2 linked regions of the Xenopus tropicalis genome follow. The protein of the gene in region 2 purifies or fractionates together with the protein of the main gene of each other region. This does not show direct contact. Links are inferred from orthologs where the notes say so. Each region holds a gene or a part of one and is shown on either strand. Other genes may lie near its edges.

Region 1 (4,198 bases), on a different chromosome or scaffold from region 2:
ATGTCAGTGCCCCCAGCCTGTACCAGAGTGTGGCACGGCCCTGTATTCCTGTTATTTCCCCCAGTACATGTCAGTGCCCCCAGCCTGTACCAGAGAGTGGCACGGCCCTGTATTCCTGTTATTTCCCCCCAGTACATGTCAGTGCCCCCAGCCTGTACCAGAGAGTGGCACGGCCCTGTATTCCTGTTATTTCCCCCCAGTACATGTCAGTGCCCCCAGCCTGTACCAGAGAGTGGCACGGCCCTGTATTCCTGTTATTTCCCCCCAGTACATGTCAGTGCCCCCAGCCTGTACCAGAGAGTGGCACGGCCCTGTATTCCTGTTATTTCCCCCCAGTACATGTCAGTGCCCCCAGCCTGTACCAGCGAGTGGCACGGCCCTGTATTCCTGTTATTTCCCCCCAGTACATGTCAGTGCCCCCAGCCTGTACCAGAGAGTGGCACGGCCCTGTATTCATGTTATTTCCCCCCAGTACATGTCGGTGCCCCCAGCCTGTACCAGAGAGTGGCACGGCCCTGTATTCATGTTATTTCCCCCAGTACATGTCGGTGCCCCCAGCCTGTACCAGCGAGTGGCACGGCCCTGTATTCATGTTATTTCCCCCCAGTACATGTCAGTGCCCCCAGCCTGTACCAGCGAGTGGCACGGCCCTGTATTCCTGTTATTTCTCCCCAGTACATGTCAGTGCCCCCAGCCTGTACCAGAGAGTGGCACGGCCCTGTATTCCTGTTATTTCCCCCCAGTACATGTCAGTGCCCCCAGCCTGTACCAGAGAGTGGCACGGCCCTGTATTCCTGTTATTTCCCCCAGTACATGTCAGTGCCCCCAGCCTGTACCAGCGAGTGGCACGGCCCTGTATTCATGTTATTTCCCCCCAGTACATGTCAGTGCCCCCAGCCTGTACCAGCGAGTGGCACGGCCCTGTATTCATGTTATTTCCCCCCAGTACATGTCGGTGCCCCCAGCCTGTACCAGAGAGTGGCACGGCCCTGTATTCCTGTTATTTCTCCCCAGTACATGTCAGTGCCCCCAGCCTGTACCAGCGAGTGGCACGGCCCTGTATTCATGTTATTTCCCCCCAGTACATGTCAGTTCCCCCAGCCTGTACCAGAGAGTGGCACGGCCCTGTATTCCTGTTATTTCTCCCCAGTACATGTCAGTGCCCCCAGCCTGTACCAGAGAGTGGCACGGCCCTGTATTCCTGTTATTTCCCCCCAGTACATGTCAGTGCCCCCAGCCTGTACCAGAGAGTGGCACGGCCCTGTATTCCTGTTATTTCCCCCCAGTACATGTCAGTGCCCCCAGCCTGTACCAGAGAGTGGCACGGCCCTGTATTCATGTTATTTCCCCCCAGTACATGTCAGTGCCCCCAGCCTGTACCAGAGAGTGGCACGGCCCTGTATTCATGTTATTTCCCCCAGTACATGTCAGTGCCCCCAGCCTGTACCAGAGAGTGGCACGGCCCTGTATTCCTGTTATTTCCCCCCAGTACATGTCAGTGCCCCCAGCCTGTACCAGCGAGTGGCACGGCCCTGTATTCATGTTATTTCCCCCCAGTACATGTCGGTGCCCCCAGCCTGTACCAGAGAGTGGCACGGCCCTGTATTCATGTTATTTCCCCCCAGTACATGTCAGTGCCCCCAGCCTGTACCAGCGAGTGGCACGGCCCTGTATTCATGTTATTTCCCCCCAGTACATGTCGGTGCCCCCAGCCTGTACCAGAGAGTGGCACGGCCCTGTATTCCTGTTATTTCCCCCCAGTACATGTCGGTGCCCCCAGCCTGTACCAGAGAGTGGCACGGCCCTGTATTCATGTTATTTCCCCCCAGTACATGTCGGTGCCCCCAGCCTGTACCAGAGAGTGGCACGGCCCTGTATTCATGTTATTTCCCCCCAGTACATGTCAGTGCCCCCAGCCTGTACCAGAGAGTGGGCACAGCCCTGTATTCATGTTATTTCCCCCAGTACATGTCAGTGCCCCCAGCCTGTACCAGCGAGTGGCACGGCCCTGTATTCCTGTTATTTCCCCCCAGTACATGTCGGTGCCCCCAGCCTGTACCAGAGAGTGGCACGGCCCTGTATTCATGTTATTTCCCCCCCAGTACATGTCAGTGCCCCCAGCCTGTACCAGAGAGTGGCACGGCCCTGTATTCCTGTTATTTCCCCCCAGTACATGTCGGTGCCCCCAGCCTGTACCAGAGAGTGGCACGGCCCTGTATTCCTGTTATTTCCCCCAGTACGTGTCAGTGCCCCCAGCCTGTACCAGAGAGTGGCACGGCCCTGTATTCATGTTATTTCCCCCCAGTACATGTCAGTGCCCCCAGCCTGTACCAGAGAGTGGCACGGCCCTGTATTCATGTTATTTCCCCCCAGTACGTGTCAGTGCCCCCAGCCTGTACCAGAGAGTGGCACGGCCCTGTATTCATGTTATTTCCCCCCAGTACATGTCAGTGCCCCCATACATCCCATCAATGCCCCCAGCTGACAGTGAGGGGCCCTGCCCCCATACCCATAGGGCATTACTAGGCCTATAACAGTAATTGCCCCAGGCACTACCCACTCCAGCCCGTGTAACTGCCCCCTGAAGCCTTTCCTGGGGCCCCAGAATAAAAGAGCGAGTAGGACCCCCCAGTACCCAGCCAGGCCCCCATGGCCACTCACCGTCAGGCCGGTACCCAACACGATCACATCGTACTCCTCATCCATCGCGCCGTGAGGGGAGAGTGCGGAGCTGGAAGCTGAGCTGGACCAAAGATGGAGGAACAGCTTCACCGCCCTGTCTCCTTCCGCGCCAGCAAATAGTTCCTTCCTCTAACCCCACCCCCTGCCCCACCCTACGGCCCCCAACAGCCAGTATCGCTAGTACCGAGCTGCACTGCCGGGCACCGTCTCACTTAGTCCCTAACAGCCCCCCATGCGGGGCCCACAGACACCACAGAGGGACAATAAGGAAGAGGGCGTGTGACCTTAGTTATGCGGCTGTGAAAATAGATCCTTCCGCGTCTGCATCTTCCCAGCAAGGGATACTGGGGGGGCTAAAGATGGGAGGGTGGGGCACTGGCTGTTATCTGTGTAATAGCCCCTCTCTCATTGGGTGTCCTGCCTGTTATCTGCCCAATTACCCCTCTCTCATTGGGTGTCCTGCCTGTTATCTGCCCAATTACCCCTCTCTCATTGGGAGTCCTGCCTGTTATCTGCCCAATTACCCCTCTCTCATTGGGTGTCCTGTCTGTTATCTGCCCAATTACCCCTCTCTCATTGGGAGTCCTGTCTGTTATCTGCCCAATTACCCCCCTCTCATTGGGAGTCCTGCCTGTTATCTGCCCAATTACCCCTCTCTCATTGGGAGTCCTGCCTGTTATCTGCCCAATTACCCCCCTTTCATTGGGAGTCCTGCCTGTTATCTGCCCAATTACCCCTCTCTCATTGGGTGTCCTGCCTGTTATCTGCTCAATTACCCCTCTCTCATTGGGAGTCCTGCCTGTTATCTGCCCAATTACCCCTCTCTCATTGGGTGTCCTGCCTGTTATCTGCCCAATTACCCCTCTCTCATTGGGAGTCCTGCCTGTTATCTGCCCAATTACCCCTCTCTCATTGGGTGTCCTGTCTGTTATCTGCCCAATTACCCCTCTCTCATTGGGAGTCCTGTCTGTTATCTGCCCAATTACCCCCCTTTCATTGGGAGTCCTGCCTGTTATCTGCCCAATTACCCCTCTCTCATTGGGAGTCCTGCCTGTTATCTGCCCAATTACCCCTCTCTCATTGGGAGTCCTGCCTGTTATCTACCCAATTACCCCTTCTCTTTGGGAGTCCTGCCTGTTATCTACCCAATTGCCCCTCTCTCATTGGGTGTCCTGCCTGTTATCTGCCCAATTACCCCTCTTTCATTGGGTGTCCTGCCTGTTATCTACCCAATTACCCCTTCTCATTGGGTGTCCTGTCTGCTATCTGCCCAATTACCCCTTCTCATTGGGTGTCCTGTCTGCTATCTGCCCAATTACCCTGCTCTCACTGAGAGTTCTGCCTGTTGTCTATCCAATTACCCCTCTCTCATTGGGAGTCCTGTCTGTTATCTATCCAATTACCCCTTCTCATTGGGTGTCCTGTCTGCTATCTGCCCAATTACCCCTTCTCATTGGGTGTCCTGTCTGCTATCTTCCCAATTACCCTGCTCTCACTGAGAGTCCTGCCTGTTGTC
Region 2 (4,238 bases):
CATTATGTGCAGCGCGCAGCACATAGGGACACATTGAGGAGCCCCCCCGAGCCCCCCCCTCCCTGGACCCCTGTGGACGCCAGGACAACGGCAGCAGAACAGCCTAGCAGAGCACAGAGCCCCACTATATAGTTAGTGTTGAGTGCCAACATGACAGTAAGTGACACAAAGAGCAGCACCGTGGCACCTCCCTCTAACCAGAGCCTTACTTAGACTGGTAACTGATACCTACTGAGCAAGTGATCAGGTTAAATATGCCGCTACCTGCGGATTTATGGGCATAGAATGCTACCACTGGAGCAATTTTTTTCATTACTCCACACTGTTGAAATGCTTAGTATAAGTTGGTTACGATATCCTTGTGCTAGCCGTGGGCCCTAGCCTTGCTTAATACACTCATATTAATATCAAGAGGCCCCTCTGAAGCTCTTTACATAATCACTGCTCACCTAATTAAATCAAAAGTACCCACATGCAGTTCTTCTCAGCTTATGTACAGTCATGAATGAAAAAATAAAAAAGAGAGATGTACTGGTCTCTATATTATGAGAGGTTTACATAACTTGCTAAGCTCTATGGCTAGTGGCACAGTAGTTGTTTTATCAAATTTATATAGAATAATTTTGTATTCATTGAAGTGACATCCAGAACAGCAATTTACTGTATTTAAAGAATACAGAAATGCCATATTTAGTTATTGGATTAAAGATTTTGTTTACCGGTATATGGATGCTTTTCATGCTGCACCATTGAGGGGCTTATACTCGAGTCAATAAGTTTTTCCAGTTTTCTTAGGTAAAATTAGGTACCTCGGCTTATATTCGGATCGGCTTATACTCGAGTATATACGGTACTGCAGTGTGCATCTGACAGGTGCATGTGATCTGCCTGGTAAAATTACTCAATCTGCAAATCCTTCCCCTAGTGCCTATTCCAAAAACAAAACTCCAAGAACGGCTACCTTATTATACAGCAAATCACCAATTAAGAAATGAAATTAAACACCAGTAATTTCAGACACCTATTGGTTAAATTTAAGTTCTGCAGAAACATAGTGTAACAAGTGCTACACGTTACAGTGGGGACTGTCTGTACCAGAGTTAAACAAAAGCATCTCTGTCCTACTAAATGAGAGAACATTGAGAATAAAATGAATTAGCACAATTTACTTACTTTACCGGCACATTTGTGATTATCCAGTACATAAAGTTCCAGATAATTCCAGAGACATTATATTTTAGTAATGACAATTCTATCCACACCTACAAATAAATGAGTACAAAAATCCCCACAGCCATAAAGCTTATAACTGCTTTGGGCTCCAAACCAGTATGAACAATGCAACTTTGGGGAAAGTGAATTTTCAACATTCAATGAACCACATTGGTATGGGTATAAAATCATCTTAACAACATTACAAATGAAACCCAAGTCGTTATTGATCCATTTGACCAGTTCAGAGATCATTAGGCACCAAAATATATTTGAAAAATACACCTATTACAGTTTAAGATTACTACAATAAATTTATTGTTGAAAATCTCTCTTGATAATTGCTTGGTAGGACACTCTAGTGCTGACCCTGCAAAATATATCTAGAAATAAACAACATTATCTTTTTTAGTATGAGACTCCTCCCAAAGAGTTAAAATTCAAAATGTCTTCCATAAACTTGCTGAGATTACATACATTTTTACCATGATGTTTTAAAATATATACATATATCAATATACTAGAATCTAGCCCATCTAGTGCTCTTAACCAAAGACGTGTATTTTATTTCTAATATTTTGTATATACTATAAATTAGATGCTCCCTATTATCTTAGCTTACTATCATGAAAAATAGAAACAAATGACACTGAATAATCCTATACTGAAACACTGCCACAGTAAATAAGCACACAAAATATCCAAAAATAGTGTCTCAAGGTTAAGAAAAAAAATGTTATATATTTACTGATGATATATATATATATGACAATTTGATATGATTATTTGATGGGTCACTAATTGGTATGTAAATTTGATGCTAGTTAAACTTTTCATTTAGAACATATTTTATATATAACAGGTTAAAGGAAAACTAACAAAGAGAAGGCATATTTGGGTATAAAAAAATTTAGATGAGTTTTCAGGCATGTAGTCCTAGAAGACGATCACACCTTACCTGATTTCTGGGCATTTTACATTCAGCAGTCTCAAAGTACAACAGATCATTTTCAGATTTCTAAAACAAATATAAATGTTAAATCATTAGCTGATAGAGATTCCTTAATAAGACCAATCGATTGATTGCCACCCTAGATCTGAGGCCTGTGCTGTCACATCCTGCACTTCTGTCCTAGTGACAAAATATTAACCCCTAGGAAACCAGCCAACATTAGCTTTATCTTTTCAACTGCTGGTCCAGCAATCACTTTTCCATCATATCCAGCAAATCGCTTAGTCTTTCCACATTATAAATGATAACAAAATATACAGCCAGGTTACAGAGCCCCCTATGAAAGTGAAGCAAGCCGGTTGCGTGCATGTGATAGGCAGGACATCTCATATTCTAAATCCCACTGGGGAATGGATGTAAATGTGATGAACAATCTGCAAATGATAACCAAATAAAGCTCATACCTGTCTAGGAAAAGAAACTAAAAGAAATATTTGCTATGGACTTGCTATGGCTTTGTGAGCACAGAAATATTTGTAAGCATTAACGCCTGTATAATGGAGAGCTTGGTTTACAATTCCATATCAATGTATAAATCAGACAAGCATATTTAGCAAACACGACTCCTAAATACAGATCCAAACTGCACCGAAGTACTGAACGATGTCCAGTGTATTTTAGCGTAACACCGAGCTAAACAAACATGTAACACGAATATTTCCTTCATGAGAAAAGTTATAGCCAGCGCATCAAAACTGATGTCATTTCATCCCCGCCGGCATCACCCGCGCTGTTTACCTGGGACCCTTCTCTCTAGCGAGCTCCCCTACTGGATCGCCTGAGAAAACATGGCGAAAACAACTCCGCCTTCGCGTCACTTGACTAGAGCGTATACGGAAATAGGAGCGCCCTTGTGCCCAGAGGCGTGATCTGTAGGACAGCCAATAGGAGACATTGCGGCAGCTTTCCTACTTGTTCTGTTTGTGAGAAACGTTAACCTATTGGCCAGAGACGTCAAACGATGGGCACATGACCGATACTTATGGTTAAAGCTGTTTCTAAATCGCTTGCCACCCTAAAATCATGTGACAAGCCTTCTAATTAGAAAAACAATCCTATTAGGGCAGTTGCGCACACATAAATAGGGGCACTAGCGCAAAGGATTGTGTGGCATATTTACTAACAAGTGCAATTTATACGATCTAGTCAGCTCTTTGCTTACATTATATAACTCCTAAAGCCCCTTTTCATACGGGGTTGTATTAGGGTTGCCACCTTTTATGGGAAAAAATACCAGTTTATATTTTTTTCTTTTTTCCTCTATTAAAGGATATGTATTGCATTTACAGCTTTTTACCTAAAAAGAAGCAGGTTTGCAATATATTGAATTTAGGAAAACAGAACCATTTTTATGTATGTATGTATAACTTTATTTATAAAGCGCCACAAGGGTACGCAGCGCTGTACAGTCTTACAGAATACAAAATTACACACAGGGAGGACAAGTGATATAATAAATAAATACATATATGTATATATATATATATATAAGTGCCATGTGGTATGAGACACAGTAGGAAGGAGGTCCCTGCCCCGTAGAGCTTACAATCTAAGTGGTTGGGTAACATACAGGCACAAACTGGAAGGTAAGAGTGCACCAGGTGTGGGCATTTGCCCTTAAGCGCAGGACTGGGCAAAATAATGTTTTAGTGCTCCAGAAGGTAACAGCTGAGTTTTTTCTTAAAGAGAGTGGGTAAGTTTTCCCTACGGAGGGATTCAGGGATAGAGTTCCAGAGGTAAGGAGCAGCGAGATAGAAAGGTTTAAGACGAGAGAGCGCAGTGGGTGTGGATGGTGTAAAGAGACGGAGGCTCTGAGAGGAGCGGAGGAGACGACCAGGAACATGTAGGGAGACCAGTGAAGAAATGTAGTGAGGAGCAGAGGAGTGAAGGGCTTTGAATGTCAGCAGAAGGATTTTGTAAGCTATCCTTTGCTTGACAGGCAGCCATGCTAGTGAGCTTAATTGAGGCTGGGCAGGATCCCTCTTAGGAGAGAGCAGGAGGATCCTGGCAGCAG

Evidence for each region. The genes of interacting proteins can lie anywhere in the genome.
Region 1: the proteins of rab9a (region 2) and gdi1 purify together in Homo sapiens (affinity purification with mass spectrometry; 3 studies listed by BioGRID and IntAct, counting the BioPlex papers as one, with this or other methods). This does not show direct contact. The link is inferred for Xenopus tropicalis from reciprocal best matches to the Homo sapiens genes RAB9A and GDI1.

What each region holds. Positions count from the first base shown.
Region 1 is NC_030684.2:142,199-146,396, reverse strand, and holds the start of gdi1 (rab GDP dissociation inhibitor alpha), read right to left. Parts: upstream 2,801-4,198; 5' UTR 2,707-2,800; coding exon 2,662-2,706; intron 1-2,661. UniProt on the Homo sapiens protein: Regulates the GDP/GTP exchange reaction of most Rab proteins by inhibiting the dissociation of GDP from them, and the subsequent binding of GTP to them. Promotes the dissociation of GDP-bound Rab proteins from the membrane and inhibits their activation.
Region 2 is NC_030678.2:105,780,672-105,784,909, forward strand, and holds the start of rab9a (ras-related protein Rab-9A), read right to left. Parts: upstream 2,801-4,238; 5' UTR 2,171-2,800; intron 1-2,170. UniProt on the Homo sapiens protein: The small GTPases Rab are key regulators of intracellular membrane trafficking, from the formation of transport vesicles to their fusion with membranes.